4 linked regions of the Arabidopsis thaliana genome follow. The protein of the gene in region 2 interacts with the protein of the main gene of each other region in a pairwise test. Each region holds a gene or a part of one and is shown on either strand. Other genes may lie near its edges. The genes, in order: WRKY45, ZML1, CAND1 and OFP13.

Region 1 (4,558 bases), 7.1 Mb from region 2:
GTTGTGACGAATACATGCAGGGAGATAGAGATATCAAAGACGCGTGGTCCTTCGTCTTGCAATAATATCACTCAGAAGCATAACATGTTGATGACGAGATCTCAACTTTCAGGCTCAAACAGCCACGACGACACATCTCATTTTACAATTTAAAATATATGATATATGTGTAATTATACAGTACAGGGTTCAATCCTTACGCACTATATTTACGCTCCTTAATTATCTATCTTCCGCGGTAGACAGATGATACGGACGATTTATGAGAAATATCTCGGAGAAAATTTATAAGATATATCTTGTAGTTCAATTAATAGATATATTATTCTCTAAGTTCTATATGAAATAATGGATGGCGCAAAGCCGCAAACTCTACAATTTCTCATTGCAAAACATATTTTCCCAATTGCTATATAAAAAAAGAACATAACATTTTTCCATTCAATGGGTTCGGAAAAAAGTGAAAGTGTTGAGATTAAGGAACCGTTATTTTATCCGTGTTTAATAAATTTTGTGTAACTAACTTTTTCGTATAACTTTTGAAAAGAATCAAGAAAATGTGGATAAGTTTCGATTTATGTAAGAATGTGAATTAATTTATTCGTGAGAGATTAATATAAAGAAATTCACAAGCGAATAACATTATCTTCGTGCGGTATTGTGGCGGCGGTAAATTAAAACGCAACAATTTGAGTTTGATAATTATTACGAAAGACTTAATTAGCTAAATCTGTAAAATAACATTATCTTCGTGCCGATGTCATCAAAACACTCTAGAATAGAAAAGGAAGAAAGCATATCTTTTGAGAAGATTCTGACTGTTATGTGATCTATATATATTCTGTTGCATATTTGCTTTTGTGTTAAATGGTCCAATGGTATAATCCAATAATATCACCATATTCCGGATGACATGGTCCTTGGTTCTTTTTGTAAAGATTTGGGCTTGTTGGGCTGACTTGACATTATGAAAAACACGAGAGCCCAGGCTAATGGGCCTAACAAAGAAAGCGTCCTCCGTTCTAAAGCGAAACGTGAAGCATATTCGCAATTGGATCCAAGAAGAAACCTCAAAGTTAGCTTTCGTACTCTTTCTCATCTTCATCTCCACAATATCCTTAGCTTGTCACTAGTTTTGGAATAATCGGTAGGTTTGGGATACATAACATTGTTTTTGTAGATGATAGACTCATCATTGCTTCTTTATGTTTGGTAATTTGATGATGAATATACTTTCGATTACAGGGCAGCCGAGACTAAGACACCAAAGCAGATGGATTCAAAGGTCCCATAAAGACAAAGATAAGGATTAGTATTTTTGAGATATGTGAGTTGCTGCTAGTTTAAAAGTAAAGGTCTGATGGTGTGAGCCCAACGTTTTTGGGAAAGTAAATATTACAATCCAATTCCTCTAATCATTCCTTCAAGCAAAAGGGAGGGAAGATGTGCATTTGTGTCAAGATGTGGTGGAAATTATCAGAGGGTTTATCAACGGCATGTGTATGAACACCTTGGTATGTCGTCACCACCACTCCTTCGTCTCCCCATTGCCTCTGCACTTGCTTCTTCACTCTGCATCCTTCTTCTGTGCACTTATAATAGCTCCTATATATATATATATTCATATTTTACATGTATGTATATGAGTCTCTTATTTGATCACCATAGCAAGCATACAGTATCATTCATTGATGATTAAGTACGTACCTGGGGAATGGATTGTTCTTGACTGCTTTTTGGCCGTACTTCCTCCACCTGTATCCATCATCCAGTATATCAACCTGGCTTCTTGTCTGGAACGCGTACCTCGCTTCTCTCTCTTTCTTCTTCTTCTTACTCCTTGGCTTCTCTTCGGATGATGTTGTCGGCTGAGCAGAGTTGTCGACCCCATGAAACTCTGTCAAGCGAGGATCAACCGATGATGAACATGGAAACAACACATCACACCTCCTATCCTCCATTTCTTAACTCCCTCTGCGTTTATGGTGGGAACTTGAAAAAAGCCAAGGAGGGGAGGGAGAGAAAGAGAGACGTACACGGTAGCGAAGATGCCAGAGAAAGTGATATATATTGAAAATATGGCTACATTAGCGGATCCATCACAGAAAAAGAGTTTTGTGGAAACAAAAAGGTGTGGCGGCTACATCATTCTGATTTATATTATTATATATGCAACTCCTTCAAATTTTGGTTCAATGGATTCAAATTTCAAACATATTTCTTGGTCAAGAATCAATATGCATCTAGATCTCTGAGGTAATCATTCTTTTCTTATTTGATTTACAATTTGGATTAGCAAGGTTTCCAAGATAATATCCAATATCACGTGTATTTGAGGTTCACCTACCAAACTTGATTGAATTCAATAAACAATGAGCTCGAATGATGTTGAGATTGTTGACTATTTTGGCTCTTTGCTTTCTTCTATACTTGTCAAAAGTATATAATCATTGATTCCATGGATTATTCATCCCTCCATAGTTATTCAAACTTGATTCATATTCACTTTTTACACACAACATAGAATTATAATAATACTAGGCATTGATCACATGTAGGATTTGAGACGGGGTCGCGTAAGGGACTGCGCTCCATCCACCAAGACAGTGGTGCCTGTCATGAAGCGTGAGCCATCGCTGATCAAGTAGATAACAGTGGAGTAGAGGTCTGTGTCCGGGTTGAGCCACTGGCCGAGGGGTGCAGCGTCCTTGACCAGCTTCTGCGCTCGGTCTCTTCCCACAGAAGCTGTATACTCATCATCCAGATGCAGCCCTCTAGAGATCATGTTGACCCGTATCTTGTGCTTCCCGAGACTCATGGCTGATGCCTGAAACCCAATCATCAACAAACATATTCAAGTTACGAACGCGATGTGTCTAATTAGGAGCTAGGATGCATACCCGGACGAGCTGGTGAATAGCGGCAGAAGTTGAAGCGTAGGCATCAGCGCCAGGGTAAAGCGCCCTCTCTCCGCTGGCGATAGTGGCCATGAAGACAATGGAGCCTCCTGATCCATGGTCCTTCATCCTTGTGGCTACAGCCTTCAAGAGAAACCATGGAGCGGTGAGATTGATCTTTGTGATTCTGTGGAACTCATCTTGAGAGACTTGAAGAATGTCCTGCACCTTTCCTGCAAGAAAGAAAGATTGTTGAATAAAGGAATGATCAACACACAAGAGCATCAAAGGCAGGGTAGTGAAAAACAAGAAGCAAATTAAACCTTGGTAGGTATAAGAGTTGAGAAAAGCATCGAAATGGCCGGAAAGTTCCCATGCCTTTTGGACAGCGGCATGAAAAGCAACTTCAGAGTCAGATTCCATGTCGAGTGCTATAACATCGGCAGGGAAGGCTCCCTCAATGGAATCTCTAATCTTGTCTACAATGCTCCTTAGGGAACCCTCATTTCCCATCATTACCAACCTAGCAACAGTACATTGCATTTTTTGAAGGTTAACTATAGACACCAAAGTCAACCACAACACAAATCGGGGCTAGAAGAAGAAACACAGGATAGGAGGAAAGAAGACAAAATGAGAGACTCACTTGCAACCGTGTTTGGCTAGATGGAAAGCGATGTTTCGGGACACCTCGTCGCCGTTGGATGTCATCAACACTCTCTTCGCCGGATTTTCCATTTTGCCAAAGTAACTCTTTATAAAACAATTCAGCAGATTCAACAAGACTTAAGGGAGGGAGGGAGTGAGATTGATTCGATCGCCAATTCTAAATAACTATAAAGAGTGGCTGCAAAAGCTCTTACCGGAACTGTGTCTGTGTGTTACCAAAACGGCGAAACAAAGCAAATAATTAATGCCTAACCACATGATCCACCACGTTCTGTTGTTACCTTCTTTAATTTGTAGATAGAAGAAGATGGTGATTGATAACGGAGATGTATTTTTTTCTTTAATAAAAAGCCCACTTCAAGGCCCAGATCCATTTCTGTACTTTGTAGGTTTTCCAACTTTCCCGGCGCCGGAAGCAAGCGTAAGTTATCACTGTTCCCCAACCAAATTCCATCATATCCTATTATCCTACTACTAATGGATCCATCTCCAAGATTCCTAATTTCACTTTGCTACAAACTTATTTCGTGTTTTTGGTTTATAATTAATAGCCGTTGTTGGTTATGAATATGTAAGCATAAAAGGCATTTGGGAGCTCCAGACAGACAATGAATCATCAACATCAGGTACTCTGTCTTTCGTTTATGTTTCTGTTCCATTCTTTTGAAATATATAGAGGAGGAACTTGTTATTAGCTAGTCCATTGATCAACACACAAAGAGTGAGAATGAAAGCAATTCCTCCAACCAAAAGGATGCTTTCCCTTATTGATTTAGTTGGACCAATATATAAAGAGAACAAAGGAGGGTGTTGGTAGGTAACAAAAGATTCTAGGTGGTGGGAGGGTAGTGGATTTTTGAAAACCGTGTGTTGACTTAATGAAAGAGGTGTAGAGTAATGGGATTGTGAGAGTGTTAAATAATAAAAGACTAGGATACGAAATCATTGTGACATGTCAATTTTTCAAGTGGGTGGTGGAATCCGCAACAAAA
Region 2 (5,752 bases):
GTTTTATGATTTGGTCGTTATGGAGAAAAAAAATGATGGTGTGACGGAAGAGAGAAGGCCTAACTCGAGAGAAGGCAACAAAAACCGAAACACTTTCTCTCTTTTTTTTCTCTTACCTCTCTGTCAATCACAGAGAAAAAAAAGAGAAACTAATTTTTGAGTTTCTAACCAACATTAATATTTTGATTTACCCTAAAAAAAAACTATGAAAGAAAATGGAGAGAGGGTTCAAATTGAATGAGATCATTACTATTTTTGGTTTGGTTTGGCAAAATTTGTGGGAAGTTAGTTTTTTTTTGTTTCTTTTTATGGGAAAGAGAAGAAGAAAGAGTTTTTTCCGGGTAAGAAGAAGAAGAAGAACATGGTGGCATCTCTTAACATGGCATATATCTAACCATCTCATTTTTTAAAACAAAAATCTTTCCTTCTTCTCAGATCTAACTATGTTTTCGTTTTGTAATAAGTGGTATACCATTCATCTTTATAACTTATAAAATTATTCTAGTATTCTGATATACTATTGTTCACCTCGTATCATGTGAAGAATGGTACACTAATTATCTTCATACCTTAATCAGTTCTTTCTAATCAAGTTTCCAATAAAGATAATGGAAAAGAATAAAACAATGTGACAGAGAGAATAGTGAAGTTGCTGAGAAATTTCGTTTTAACCTGATGAACGTGTGTACGACATTAAGGTCACTTGGGTTGCACGACATAACCAATCATTGTTTCTATTTTTATACATAGATTGCATTATCTCTACTAAGTCTTAAATATTTAACTAATTGTAATCAAATACAAGAACAAAAAAAAGTTTTCTGCCTGAAAATATAATCAAACACACAGATGAGAGACTGAGCAAAGTTTTTTTTTTCTTTTCTGATGAGTGAGCTTCTAAATAAGTGAAGAGTGTCTTATAATTTGTAGAAGACTAAAATGTGCCCACATAGACTGAGATTAACCCAGAGAAACCCTAAACACAACTCAGATTCGATTCCATCATCAAATGAAATGATAACAACTGTTTTTGTTTGAGATCCTTTCTTGCTTCCAATGGTTTCTCAGTTCTCACTGTGTGTTGCTAATGTCACCAGTTACTTCCATCATTTGATCAGCCTCAAGATTTGCGTCCTGCAACAAAAGTGATTGAGAAAAAAAAAATGAATGTATGTTCTCTTAATAAGCAAATCAAAACTCCAGCTCTATGAAATACTGCGCTCACGGCTCACCTCATTCTTATTCAGAGATAGATGCTGAGGTGTTTGCGGAGGAGGGACTTTGGATAGGTCTCTAAGAGTCCCCTGATATTATAAAGTCAAAGGGAATGTTATTGTTAGGTTCATACTCGGATATATAGGCCTGATCAATGAGTCAAAAAAGTGATACGAGACGAGGTGATCAATGTGAACTAAGAAACTCTTAGCTTACCTTGTTTGCCCACATCAGTCCACACGCATTACAAAGTGTTCTTGGCCCATCAGGTCCACGTCGCATCATTGGAGTTGACTTCTCACTTGTTCCACAGTGTCGACATCTTAACATGTTCACAACCATTTGACGAAGAATAAGAACAGAGACAAGCTTTCCAAGTATACCAAGCTATAAATAAGTTCATATCAACTACAATGACTTAACATGCAACAACATAGTCGGTTCAGTTATTTTTATCCTCTCACAAGTATAAGTTATCAGTTGCAGGTATCGAATGAGTGATGCCATCATGATAAGTATAACTATAAATTTCAGAGTTGACGTATATAGACAAAGTTTATGGAAGTGAAAAGAGCGTCATTAAATGGTTACCAAATAAATTGTTTCCATGTATTAGACTTAATTGAGGTTTTATAACGAGTTCACTAAAGTTAATATAACTGTTGTAAGAAATTTAAAGCATTTTCAACTTACAAAACCTCTGGCTTCTGAGTCTCAGTCCCTTCTACGGCCCAGCTCTGGTTTGACCCCCAATCCGATCCAGTGGATCCAGAATCATCATTGCTTGATTTAGCCGACGTGAACTGACCTTTCTTACGCTGCATTCTGCATGAACAAACAAAACCTTAATTGCAAAACAGACGTATCTCAAAAGCTCGACATACACAAAAGCTAGTACTTGACATAAACGTACCTCAAGGCTACTTCTTTCCTGACTGTATAGCGAATAGTCTTATCAAAGTTCCTCCCTTTTCGTTTCTCCCTAAACCTGAGCAAAGAAGCTAACCGCTGCGGAACGCTAAGCCGTTGAGGAGTACCAGATAGACCCTGGTTCATTTATTAGTCAGCAACAAACTGGGGAATAAACTGATTTCCCATATGGTATTAAATCTTTTATTACCAGTACCCTATTGTTCTGATGAGGTGATCCTAGGGTTGTTGGGAGTGTATGTGGTACTTCCCTTCCACCAAGTAACAAAAGCACAGCTTGAACCTGCATAATATTGAGCAGCACTTCAATAAGCGAAAAACAAAACCAACCAGGTGGATACGTTGACCATATGTATCCAAAACTAAAACATCAAAGAACCAAAATTAACTTAAAGTTACCTTCTCAGGCGAGACACGGTCAAAAACATAAACTTGTCCCTGGAAGGACAATGTCAATTGATCTCCATTTTCAATTCCACGGTCTACAACTTCACCACGATTATCAGCTGAGTTTCCAGGGTGAGAAGGAATGTCTGTCTCCACTCCTTCATCCATCCCACCATCAGCATGGTCATCCATCATACTGTTTTCATTGTCGATATGGTGCAAACCGTGATCTTCATACTGCACATGCATTGGATTTTGCGCTACACCAATGTGCATTCGACCATTTCTTCCATGAAGATCATCCATGGTCTTTTTTCTGCAATTTGTTACCAATTACATCCAAAGGAAGATAACATTAATTAAGACTGGAACGTTCTTAATAACGAAAAAGCGAGATTGTCAGAGACGGTATAGGTTGAAGAAACTCAATAATGGTGGATATATTCTCACATAAATTGAGTTTGCAAATACAAAGAAACTATCTCCACCTAAGGGAAAGGAACTTCATTAATAGTTATCAGCACTGATATAGTACAAAGGAGCTTCTTTTATAACAAGAGTAGATGACAATAATCTAATCTCGAGTAAACAACAACTAACAACAGTCAACTACCTTAAAACGTAACAATATCTACCCAAATCCAGTAAAAAAAGTTTCATCAATCAGATTCGAATTGGAAAAAAAGTCTCCTTCTCTCATGCTCATAAGTCCTAAGCTAAGTCCCAACCTTTAAGCTAAGAACAAATAGACAGAACAATTCCAAATCCCACATATAAATGCTTCCAACTAAAAACCCTCCAAATTCGACAAGTTCATCTACAAACTAGAACCCACTACCTATATCATACATACAAAGACTTGTCACTTGGACAGGGCAATCAAAACAATAAACCAAAATTGACATCAAATGGGTACCTTTTGTGCAGAGGAATCCAAGCGAGAAGAATGAAGAGCCTTTGCAGAGCTAATTCACGCGAAACAATGAAAGATAAAGAGGATTTGATTATACAAAGAGAGAAAAAGGTTTAGGGAAAAATCCCAAAAGGGTAAACGGAGACGAGAGCGAAAAAAGGAAGCTCCTTTGATTTTTTTTTTCTTTTTTGGTCTAATGATTGTAGTGAAAGATTTTTCATTTTTCTTCAGCAAACGTCGTCGTTGTGATCTTGGGCCTTTTTTAGCCAAACGGCGTCGTCTTTGTGAAAGGCTTGACACTCCCTATTCTTTGGACCTCATCTTTAATTGGCCTCTATTTGAGTTCATATGTTTTTCTTTAGTGGTTTCAGGTTTGATCAAGATACACATTTACTCTTAATGATGCCAAAGATATAAAGACATTGGAGATGGTTTAAGGTCGCCAAGGTTTTTCACATAATTCTTTTAATCTCTTTTGTCAAGATATCTTTCTTTTACCAAATGACAATGTGGAATTACATTAGTTAATTCAATTTGTACCCATCTTTAAAAACTTCTTGTTGTTTTGGTTAGAAATCATATATAATTATAATATATCTCTACAAATAAACCATCTTAACACAAAATATCTTAAGTTAGATGGAACCACAACCAATTCTTCGGTGGAAAACAATTGACTCAACTATATCTAATATGTCAGATTTTAAAACTAAATTGCGTTCCTCTTTCATTTCTTAATTCCACAATATACAATTTTATTTTGATTTTATTTGCTTTTCCCTTATTCTTGCACAAAATTTACATATGTTTTGCTCTAATATGTTCTAAGCATTTCTAATTTTTTTCCTTTTCAAAATTTTGGTACTTAATAACTAATTGACCAATTATGAAAATGCCATGTGCCTCGAATTATCCACTAGCAAAAGGGTAGCAACAAGTTATAACTTAGAAATGCGTACATATATCTTACTTATAAAATATCAAGAGTTAGATTAGATAATGCATAGACTAGTGTGACAATTACAAGGCCATGCACTGGCTGACTTGGTGCCTCCTCCAAAGAACTAAATACCATGTTGAATTTGAACCAAACTTGGAACATATATGAGGAGACGTGGGGTAGGAGATAATTCATGTGTAGGTTTTGCACCATGATGATCCAATTCTATGAATTTATCATTTTCCACAATGTGTATGATGTCCTTGGAGTGCCGGTTGGGTCTATGACAAGAAACTACAACAATCTTCTCCTTAACTTGGTATGCGAAGAAACTCACCCCTTCCCTAAAATGACAACGATAGCGTAGACCAACTCCGCCCCGCAGTATTGGGAACTTGCTCCATGACATTGCTCTGGTGTTCTCACTAGTCTTCGTTGCTATCCATAAGTTAACGTTTGTTCCGGTTACGTATGTGTAATTAGTAGATAACATACAAAGTCGTTTCCCTTGTCTAGTCACTGATAAAGCCAAATGACTATCACCCTCTGGGAGAGACTCACTTCCAAATCTCTCTGTTGAGAAATCAAAACTTAGTAAGAATTGTTCACTAATATCAAACCAGTAAGTGATTCCATTTACAGACACGCCACTGGTGATATTTGGATTGAACAAGCCGGTGATCACACCAATACTCCTCCACGAATTAGAGTTAAAGTCATAGATTTCGTACTCGTAACGTTCTTGGCTATTGTTGATAACAAGATCCTCCCCCACGATGTTGTACACGTAACGTTCTTCGCTAGGATTGATAAGACGACCCTGCCTCAAGATTTTGTACTTGTTGCAAGAGGATCTACCGAGAGCATAGCAGTCATCTTTCTTGTAGCAAAATCTTGGTTGAATCCACCTTGTTTCACCTGAAAGCGGATTCCAAACCACCAGTCTATAGTCCTTGGTGGTGCATAGCAATAAGCCATCGCAGTGAAAGACGTGGCCTATATCGACTTCTGTTGAATAATTATTAGAAAGATGTTCTTTTAGGCTAAAATGACATGTTATGTTAACATATGGAGCAACGCTATTGTGAATTCCACGGAGATTGGATCTCACTGAATAAACCTTATGATCAATCAACACGAGAGCCATAGAGTGCCTTGGAGCATTAGAAGAGTGCTTCTTAGAAAGTTTCCCATCTTTGATCAAAGTGTTCCATCGTTTGGATGTTGATCGTAATCGTGCTAGAAATACAGCCGGAACTCTAGAGAGTATCTCCACTACCAAATCCTCCGGAAGGTCGTTGAACGTCATCATCTCTCACACGACTGTGATTAAACCAATTTTCAAAGAATCAAGATGGAGAGACGAT
Region 3 (5,465 bases), on a different chromosome or scaffold from region 2:
TCAATAACCATATTGCAAAGCAAGAATAGAGCATTAATGGATTAAATTACATACCTTCACATTTTCCTCCCTTTCCTTAAATCTATCAATTAGTTTCGGGCAGGCCTGCACAAGAAGAGACTAAACTCCTCAACAATAATTCTATAGTAGATTCTTGTTTCATATTTAATCAAACACAGGTAAAAGAATGAAAAACTCTTGTGTAAGGGAATCTTGTACACTCCCGTCATGAAAGATAATACGCTTGATCATTTAAAAAAGATATACCTCTTGATATACTTTAGTGAGCATCTCAGAACGCGAAACGATTAATCCTGCTAGGCATTTGGCCGCTGCTCTCCTAACTTTCCAGCTGGCATCTTCATCATCTGTGTACTCATTTGCACTCTCGCTGTGAGAAAGAAAGACTTATTTCAGTGAGATAATGGTGCACCGTAAGGAGCTAGGCTACTGTTCCAATGAATAAATCAGAACTTACTCATCTTCTTCATCTTCAAGAGTCTCATTATCAGTATCTTCCTCCATATTGTCCGTAAAATTCGGGTCATAACTAATATATTCTAAAGTAAGATTTAAAATTTCATCACAATATGGTGAGATGTCCCTGGGACATCGTAGCAAGAAACTTTCAAGTGCCTGCAGTCAAATTTCAGAACAGACATGTTATCGTCTACATTGTTCATACCAATTTTATTGAACCTAAGATTAGAATTCCAATTTAATAGCATAGGAAAGAAAAGAGACTACAAGCACGCCTAAGTAATTGTCTGATTACAAAAATTAGATGAGAAAACAAAAAATGCAAGCGTAGTGAGAAAGTAGGAACATTAGGGAATCTTGCACGATACCTGTAAGCTATACTCGCGAAGCTCCTCGTCATTTTCTGAAGCGCTAGTGCAGTAATTGATTAATACTGGCACAGTGTTACCTAGATGAGTGCCAAACCGGTAACCAACAGCACGGCTGAAACAAAAACGCATTAAATAGCATTACAACCATGGCAAGCCTAGTCGTAGATAACCATTCATCCCAATCAATAAATAGGTAGCACAAGTACAACTAACCGAAGCATACTACAACACTACAGTAACGTATGGTAAGAAGTTAAAGATATATAACAAGCCGATAAGAAGGAAGATAGGAAGTACCATAAAGCTCCAATCATTTGAATATTGGTACGTGTAATCTCCGATTTTGCATTCCTGTTACTTAGATTTTTCACAACTTCAACAGTCGCCTTCGCGAGCAAATCATCAGACAGACTGGAAGCAAGAGAAGCTGACACCACACAAAATTTTGAACTTAGAAGAGGCTATATACCATCGAATTAAGAGTTCTATATACGACTAGGAAAAAAATGACATTGAATATATCATTTGAACTAGCATCGGTTTCACAAGAATTGACGCAAACAGCTGAAAACCATATTTCTAATATAGATAAGGAAAGCTACCACTCAAGTCTCGGCAGATTAAAGTTGGTTTCAAATTAGCTAAATATTGACATTAGTACCGACAGTACCCAGCAATCATATTGACTCAATTTTATGAACTTACCAATGCATGTAACAGTCTTCTTCCTGACTGTGGCTTGGTTACAGCCCAATTGCAATAACAATGTATTCAATAGCTTCTCGTGATCATCCGTCATTAAACTTCCATATTTTTGAACAACATCACACATGATCTCAAGACATTCACACTTGATCCCTGAGCTCATTCCCTTCAGCAGTAAATACGCAGAAAATTAGTTACTTGTAAAATAAGATGATAGAACCTTAGAGTAGACAAATAATTATATGCATATACTGTGCTCTGGTCTACTAAGAGTTTTTCAGACAGAGTTCTTTAACTGTATTAGATCCAATAAAACTTAAAACGTAAAATCAACTAATTTTCCAATAGATGTCAATCAATATGATTTTGATGGGATCCGAAATTGTCTAGGACGACCCTAAGCACTGTCGCATATGCAATCGAAATAATAAGGAATAGACCTCCCAACAACTAACCTGGCCACTTATTCCTCCTATCATTTGTGGTGTTAGAGTAACAAGAATAGATGGAGCAAGCGTAGGAGCAATTTGAGCGACAACAGTCCTGAGAGCTATGCTTGCGGTATCACGATGCTGGTCTTTCCCATGCAGCAGTTTATCACATAACTTGTTGGTCATTTCAACAATTCGTTCTTCTCCAACCTTCTTCACCAATGGAGCAAGACTGGAACAAAATCATAACATCAAAGGTCGACGATAGATCAGCTAAATGTAAAAGTATAACATCAGCTTAGGTCATAAGTTGCTAAGAGCAGAAAGCTAACCATTTAACAGCCAATCCAGAAACATCACCAGCCACATCATCGAGCTGTTGCAATATGATACTCGACAATCTCACCTCCAAGTCCAGGTCGATTTTAAAGGAATCCTTATTCAACTCATTAAGCAAATCAGAGGTTGCCATGTATCTGTAATCTTTATCTTTACCCGTCATCTGAAACTATAGTAAATACAGCAATGAGAAAAGGTGACTATACTCAAAAACAAAATTAAGCTTAATTAGAAACAGATGATGAAAAGACCTTTTCGAGTATCCCAGAAACTTGTAAGTTCGCCATATTGGCCCGACCTTCTCAATTCACTCCTTCCAACTGCAATCAAACAAGGATCTCAAAATTCATTACTTAGTAAAAAGAGAATCAACCATGCGTTGAACTAAAACGCTTAGTCAGAGCAATGTCACTCTATCAAGCTCTCCACAGAGGTTAAAACATCAGAAACAAAGTCAGAAGTGTAAAGAAGAAGCATCGAAGATGGATTAATTATCGCCGGTAACAAAACCTAATTAATATCCCTTAGAAAACTTTTGATTCATCGAAGATCACAAAGAAGAAGTTCGGTTTGATAAATCAAAGTATCGTCGCCACCAAAACCCTAAGACTACGACTACGAAGACGAAAAGAGTTAACGCTAGACATCATCACACTTTATCGATCAAAAAGCAAAAAAGAGGTAACCCTAAGTAACCTGAGAAGATGAAATCGACGGAGGTAACGCCGGAGACGGAGTAGAACGCCGAGAGTTCCGATTTGGTGGTGGTGGAAGTTGCGGAGAGGAGAGAGCTCTGAGGAAAGTAAAAAAAGATGGAGGAGATACTGTAAATTTCCGTACTCGTGAAAGCTTGATTTTTAGCCCTTCTCTCTTCTTAAGGAGGAAGTTAACTTTCTTCTAAATGGGCCTGTGTAGGATTAATTGGGCCTGACTTGGTGCGATTTGAGTCGGTTAATGGGTAGCGTTTATTTCATGCTGTACATTGTTGGACTTGATTAGTCGGTTAATACTAAATGGGTTTGGCCCAATTACTTTGTTTTCAGTCTGAGCCCAAGCATGGGTTTCTTTGTTTGATCCAAGTAGTTCTTTTTTTGTTTGCTTTTTTTGTGTCAGGGACATGCTATGCGATTGCGACCAACCAACTAAATAGTGTTAGCCATTGGTTCATCGACAATTTATGGTCAATATTTTTGAACGATTAGCAAGTAAAAAATTGTATCACTGAAAGTTTTCAACCTAGGCCAAGTATATGTGGTTTAGTGGTAGGGGAAGCTTTGGGAAGGATGAAACTCTTAGACCCGAGTTCGATTCTCCTTGAAAGTTGGTAAGTGTATAAGTTGGGTCTTGGTTTAATTGGTTTACTTGGTAATTAGAAATGTAGGCGGCCGCCTGACTACCCCCTGGCATTAGTCAGAAAGCATTTCAAACTCGTGACAGACAGACAGTATGGTGGTTTTTCGGGAAGAAGTCCACTCGAAAACATTTCGGTGTGTTTTTACTAGGGCTAACCAGATCAGCCGATAAGGTTTATAAGAAAAAAAAAAAATTGAATCAAAATCATTTGTTAAATGTTCCCGACCCAACGACTACCAAATAAACATGATTTCATTGTCGATAGTCATCGCTAACGATTATAAAGTTAACAAAATATAACTGATTGTCATTGTTGCTAACGACTAAAAAAAACTAAAACCGTAAAATATGGTATAGATGTGAGATTTTTTGTCGAAATTAGACTTCCTTTATTTTGAACTAGAACTTCGAAATTCAAATTATTAGATACTTTTGTCTAAGTAGTTTCTTCGTCATCTGTTTCTTCCACTTCCACGTGTGTAAATTTTTCGTGGGTTTCAGGATTAAGTCTTCCTTATGCTATTTCCTTAGTCTTAGTTGTTGACAAATATGTGCCCGTAGAATCTTCATACTTTCGAATGACAAATTCATCGCCAGACTCACGGTCACGCAAGAATGGAAGGTTAGACACCTCAGGCACATTCAAGTGTTGAAGCTCTTCAATTACTTGATTATAGACATACTAATATTTGAAAAGCAACAAAATTATGAATTTTTTCAGATGAGAAGTTAGGTCAGTGCTGTCCTCTAGTAGTTCCTCTATTACCTGAAAGAAAATGAATAACACACATCATGTCATCATACATGCAAATACAAAATCTAAATGTATAGTATACTACTATTTTGAACTAAACCAAGTAAAAAGTACCTCTCTACCACGTATAGTTTTAGTACCAATTATTTCATATGCTCTTTCGGATCCCTCCGTTAATGGCCATTTAAAATAGTCACAATCGCAAAGAATGCACATCTCCAGAAAATTATCGTCTGTGAATTCTGAAAAATCGTAAGATTTTGCTTCTTCTTTAGTTTCTTTTTCGTTGTCTTTATTTTTCTTGCTACTATGAAACCGCTTCAATAAGTCTATCATTTCGAGTTCAAGCAATTCAAAGTCTTTACTGGCGAAAATAATTTGTGATCACACAAAAGTTTAAAGTGGTAGTAAAAATTAATGTTATGTCTACATGAGAAAAACCTTTAAAATAATAATAATTGATAAGTGTATTAAAGAACTTACTCTTCAACATCTAAATGGTATGAGGTCAGTGTTAATAGTGAGAACCGCATAAACGCTTTTATCTTTATTATTAGCCAAATATACAAGCTGTGAGCAGCAACGATAAACTCAATATTCGGATACTTTTTTTTTTTAAACCTTCAATGGGAGAAAAAAGAAAGGTTAATAAAAAATTAGAAAGAAGTGAAAATTCTTAAAAATAATTATTTACCGTAAATGTTACCTCAATGAAAACATGTATCACATAAGGCGTGATGTGTATATGACTTTGAAAGATCTTAGTAGCATTCTTCTCTTTGTCCTTTCTCTTAGGGTCATCGGGAGCCATAAGTTGTGCTGATGCGTCAAGATCCTTTGCGTATTCTAGAGTTTTTATTGGGTTCCGCGGTGACTTAATAGGTAAACGATGTCCATCGAAAACAAGAATAGGATTCACATTACGGTCGATGAATTGTTTGACTTTTTTGATGACAAACATTATATGTTCAGAGTTGGGTGTAGTTGGTTCCTCCAAGAATTTCCGGGCATTATTTAAAGCACCTCTGTATA
Region 4 (4,684 bases), on a different chromosome or scaffold from region 2:
TTAGACGCTATGTTTGTGACAGACACAGTTCTGTGTTTTTATTTGTTACAAATATTTGGCTATAGTTTTTCTGTACTCTTGAAAAACTCCAAATTGTATACTATCTCGTATATATTTGAGGACCAGCCCTATGTTATATGTGTTTCCTATAGAAAAATCAATTTTGTGAAATTGAGGAGGAATGAGAACATGCATAGCTCTAAAATTATGAAAAGAAAGGAAACAAAACAAAACAAACAAAACAAAAACAAATAAACGTCGTCGTCTAGGTTGGTCCCAAAATTAAATGTAGAGTAATAAATGAAAAGAGATAAGAGAGAAGTGAGTAGGTCTATGATGTTGGGATTCACAGGGCCTGTGTGTGTGTGACCACTGACCACAGCACCATTGCTCATCTCATGTTACTCCATTCACTTCACAATACAAAATACAAATTACAAATCTCTTTTGTAACATTTCAATTCAAACGTTACTATAGACCAACATTCTCTTTTAATGCACCCTCGTAAATACACTATCCTTTTCTGTATTTTTAAAACTTGAATCTCATAAGTTCATGACAATTACATTTATACATACACTACGGGTGTTTCTATTACGCTTATTTTCAAGATTTTAACTCCAGCATGGATATCACAAAAAGGGTTTTGCTAAATATCTTACGTGATGATGCTTTTAAGAGTCAAATCAATAAATAAAATCTCTATGTTATTAATGTTAATACATGAATTATCCGAGCATGATATTTAATGAGTCTTACAGTTTATGTTAGTGTAGTAGTCCTTGTGTAACCATCGAAAATTCGTAATACCAAATTTTATTTGGGGAAAAAAAATGTAAGGTCCAATATTTGTGACAAAAAAATTTTTAATATGGATGCCAAAGGAGCTACATGCCTACATCTAATGAGAAAGGCTATATAATATGCCTGCAAAAAAAATGAGAAATTATAATTCTATGTCCTTTAAAACCTAAAAAAGAAGTAAAAAATAAAGAGCTTAAATAAAAAGAAGTATCACAGAATTTATTCTTATGTATATTTCCTTTTAAAATGGGGCTGTTATACAAAATTTCTCTGAATCTGTTGGCATAAACTTCGCTGAGTTTCATGAATTTTGGGGGAAAAATAGTGTAACTTTCGAGTTATGACAAAAGGCACTGTTATACACATAAATCAACAATAATGGCTCTAAAAATATTTTTGATATATATTTAATGGTTCTTTTTCCTCTAACCACTAATTACTTTTTACAAAATCCAAAAAGGGTTAATTAATCTAAACAAAACCGGAGATTAAAAAATTTAAAACCGAATCTTAAGCCTTTTTTTATTTTTAACAGCTCCGTCTCTCTTCCTCTTGAATCTCCGTCTGACCTTGAGATAACGAATAAACCGGCGACGACGGCAAAGACGAAACGGCGGTTGAATAACGAGCCGAATCCGATACCGAAGCCGACGTTATTCCGGCGCCGGAATCAGAGAGTCCAGAGAGAAGATCAACAAAAGCACTGACGATAACGCCGTGACTCTTCCTCCCATTCATCCTCAAATACCAAGCGAGCATCGATTCCAAGCTCTCCCAATCTTTAGCCAACTCACCGTGACTCGTCACCATCTCCTCCATCGATCGCCGGAAATCACCGTACGGATCCTCGGATTCCATCGCCACCGCGACACTAATCTCCTCAATCGGCGTACTCCGATCTTCTCCCACCGCAACCGTTTCCTTCGATTTCAAATCCGATTTCGATTTCTCTTCAATCTCTTCCAGAATCGAACTCGTAACTCCTGGATCGAAGAATAACCGCTCCGATCTAACAACGCCACGAACCACCATCTCTAAGGACTCAGCGTCAAGGTCTTGATCCGACTCGGTTGAGTGACTCGCTGTCTCGGACGAGTTAGTAAACCATGACTCAGGCGTCTCCGCTTCCAACAAATCTCCTCCATTGTTGTTGTTGTGGTGGTGGTCGAAGAAAACAGAGTTCACCGTCTTGATCATGTCGTCGCCGACTCGGAACGAAAGAGTTTTGGCATTGTAACAGAGAGGAACCGCTAGTAATCCTCCGGCTCCGCCTTTGAACAGAGAAGAGAGTTTCATCTTCTTCTTCCCCATTGATACCACCAATTGTTTTTTTCTTTGTGAAGATCTTTGGTTGGGTTTGGGTTTAGTAATTAATGGAAGAGGAAGGAGTTGGAGGGAATGCGATATATGGGGAGAGAAGAGAGAGCTGGTGGGGTCAGGTCATGTGTCTATTTAATTTTGGGATATTTTTCTATTTGTTGTTAATTTTCCATTTTTTTCTGGTTAGTTATTTGAAGTGCTTTTACTTATTTAGTCTAAAGTCTTAACTATAAAAATTACGATGATTGAAGTTGATAGTTTGTTTTTGTTTTGCTTTGTGGTTAGCTTTTTCGATTCGTTTTCTGTTCAACCGGGATTTCAATAGTTTTTTCCAATATTTGATTTGCTACAATCCAAATTTTTAATATTGGTTTTTTCTACACTATTCGATCTAATAATTGATCAATTTTACAAAAATGTTTTTATAATGGAGATATATTATTTTTACAAATAGTTTATTGCTACATTTTACAATAATGTTTTTGTCGTTGTGATTTTATTGATATACACATGAGTGGAAGAATTATGTTTTTTACAAATATTTTGCTGTTTTGAAAAATTGACAATCTTCTTGTGTGACGAAAACACTTATCCTCATGCAGTTTACATATTATTAGCTCCATGGGTTGTTATTGCCTTGTTGGAGAGGTTGAATTTGTATTTTTTAACTAACAAAAGTTTCATGCAAACACGATATAATGGCTCTATGGGAATTTGAATTTTTATTTTGTCTTTGTTATCTAAATTTAAGATGATAATATTATACTCATGAACAAGTATAGTAAGACACAGCAGTAGCATTCAATTTGGTTGAAGACAAGAAAAATTAAATATTTTAATTAAAATAAAATAAAATAATACTAGAAAAAATGTTAGTCCCGAGCCAATGACAAAGCACTGTGCAGAACACAAAGCATTAAAAACGATTGCTTACAAGAAAATGTTGCAGAAAAACAAATCCCAATAAACATTTAGTAATTTTATATACTACTACTACTTTATAAAGGTTGATTGACGGTACTACATTCTTGTCTATTGGCTCGTCTTGTCAAATCTTCTTCTCATTTTTAATTACTCTCTCTTTACGACTTTAATAGTGTTTTACATCTTAATTAATTTGTTTAATTTTTTTAAAACTGATGTATAAGCTATTTTGTATTATATAATCCATAAACGAACACGTAAAAATCGTACTGATGCAGTCAGTTTTGACTTTCCTATAAGCACTGTGAGCTTCTAATACTCTCGGTCAACGTGTTATCTATAAATTACGTATGTGTAAATTATATGAAGCTTTGAGCTTAAAGAATGTTTCTTCTTGGTCGCAATACAAATTTCTAAAAGTAAGAATTGTAATTCAACTGAATAATTAAACTCGATGAACATCAGTTTCTTGAATATATATTTAAAAATAATTTATTTCGTTTAATTTTTTTTGAGGAATTGAAGTCTTATATTCGAAGAAGGACTATGTTATATGTATGTTTTTAATTAATGATGAATTTCTTGGACGATTTTCTTTACTAAGGTAAAATATATGATCCATCAAGGTAGAACAAGAATGTAGGGGATAGATCCTGAGACAGTGTCCTTTAGGAATCAGTCAATATTATAGAGTTTATCAGAGATATAAAACTGAAAGTAGTAAAAGATTTAAACAGAAGCAATCTGATGTTGAAACCCATTGTTGTGAAATAAATGCATCATTATTTTCGTACATTTTCAACTTTATTTACCCAACACCTCCATATCTTTCTCTTTTGCAAAAATTTCCTGTTTTGCCTTAATTTGCGTAAGATATTGGATCAACGTTTGTGGGATAAATATGGGAACATAGAATAAGAAAAAGAGAGAGAAAGATTGTGTGCAAAACTCATGTGAGGAATTAAAGAGGGCACCGTTGAATCACGCATATATTAACTGTGGATTTCCATCTTCTACTACTAGATCTTTAGTTAGGGGACCAAATTTACAAAAGTACAGTATATTCCTCTCTATGGTTTAAATTTTTAAATACATTAGACTATATATAAATTACATTTTTTCATTTACAGTACTTTGAATACTCTACAGTGTTCATGATAGACTATTCAACTTGTAACGTGTTTGCAAATGAAGATGTCTAAAAATAAAGTTTATAACATGCAATATTTGGAATACTCTACAGTGTTCCTACATCTTTTTAATTTTATGTTCAAATACGACATTTTTGCCATATTATCCTTTTAAATTTGCTCCCTATTTATACAGTTGATTAACAAAAAGTTATTTGAATACTCTTACTTGGTTTTATGAAACTGTTCACAATTTCAACAATTCAACGAAAACCGAAATTATAATACATGAACATCTTGGACATGCCTCTTTTATCCCCTTGCTAAAGACCGACATTAGTATAATTATTCTACTTGAGTTTTAACTGTGTAAGAAATAATAAATGCCAAGCACAGTTGTAAGAAATCTTAGAAGTAACTTCTCAACAACTTCCACGGTGATTTAAACTTTTTTTGTTTTTTATCCATTACTAAATAAAGTATTTTAAGAAATTTACCTCAAATA

Evidence for each region.
Region 1: the proteins of ZML1 (region 2) and WRKY45 interact in binary tests that used the Arabidopsis thaliana proteins (3 or more experiments, as listed by UniProt).
Region 3: the proteins of ZML1 (region 2) and CAND1 interact in binary tests that used the Arabidopsis thaliana proteins (3 or more experiments, as listed by UniProt).
Region 4: the proteins of ZML1 (region 2) and OFP13 interact in binary tests that used the Arabidopsis thaliana proteins (3 or more experiments, as listed by UniProt).

What each region holds. Positions count from the first base shown.
Region 1 is NC_003074.8:325,199-329,756, forward strand, and holds WRKY45 (WRKY DNA-binding protein 45), read right to left. Parts: upstream 2,215-4,558; 5' UTR 1,962-2,214; coding exon 1,708-1,961; intron 1,606-1,707; coding exon 1,416-1,605; 3' UTR 754-1,415; downstream 1-753. Other genes in the region: AT3G01961 (uncharacterized protein), read left to right, coding at 1-153; AT3G01980 (NAD(P)-binding Rossmann-fold superfamily protein), read right to left, coding at 2,549-2,827, 2,901-3,420, 3,544-3,635. UniProt on the Arabidopsis thaliana protein: Transcription factor. Interacts specifically with the W box (5'-(T)TGAC[CT]-3'), a frequently occurring elicitor-responsive cis-acting element.
Region 2 is NC_003074.8:7,419,918-7,425,669, reverse strand, and holds ZML1 (ZIM-like 1), read right to left. Parts: upstream 3,635-5,752; 5' UTR 3,449-3,634; intron 2,849-3,448; 5' UTR 2,839-2,848; coding exon 2,545-2,838; intron 2,429-2,544; coding exon 2,336-2,428; intron 2,263-2,335; coding exon 2,129-2,262; intron 2,041-2,128; coding exon 1,909-2,040; coding exon of another isoform or gene 1,905-1,908; exon of another isoform or gene 1,538-1,904; coding exon 1,432-1,537; intron 1,305-1,431; coding exon 1,233-1,304; intron 1,135-1,232; coding exon 1,072-1,134; 3' UTR 765-1,071; downstream 1-764. Other genes in the region: AT3G21170 (F-box/associated interaction domain protein), read right to left, coding at 4,510-5,697. UniProt on the Arabidopsis thaliana protein: Transcriptional activator that specifically binds 5'-GATA-3' or 5'-GAT-3' motifs within gene promoters.
Region 3 is NC_003071.7:687,493-692,957, reverse strand, and holds the start of CAND1 (cullin-associated and neddylation dissociated), read right to left. Parts: upstream 3,175-5,465; 5' UTR 3,023-3,174; intron 2,647-3,022; 5' UTR 2,614-2,646; coding exon 2,578-2,613; intron 2,496-2,577; coding exon 2,320-2,495; intron 2,220-2,319; coding exon 2,012-2,219; intron 1,723-2,011; coding exon 1,557-1,722; intron 1,279-1,556; coding exon 1,149-1,278; intron 964-1,148; coding exon 849-963; intron 637-848; coding exon 479-636; intron 392-478; coding exon 268-391; intron 106-267; coding exon 55-105; intron 1-54. Other genes in the region: AT2G02550 (PIN domain-like family protein), read right to left, coding at 4,194-4,361, 5,140-5,465. UniProt on the Arabidopsis thaliana protein: Key assembly factor of SCF (SKP1-CUL1-F-box protein) E3 ubiquitin ligase complexes that promotes the exchange of the substrate-recognition F-box subunit in SCF complexes, thereby playing a key role in the cellular repertoire of SCF complexes.
Region 4 is NC_003076.8:1,397,117-1,401,800, reverse strand, and holds OFP13 (ovate family protein 13), read right to left. Parts: upstream 2,407-4,684; 5' UTR 2,117-2,406; coding exon 1,334-2,116; 3' UTR 1,017-1,333; downstream 1-1,016. UniProt on the Arabidopsis thaliana protein: Transcriptional repressor that regulates multiple aspects of plant growth and development through the regulation of BEL1-LIKE (BLH) and KNOX TALE (KNAT) homeodomain transcription factors.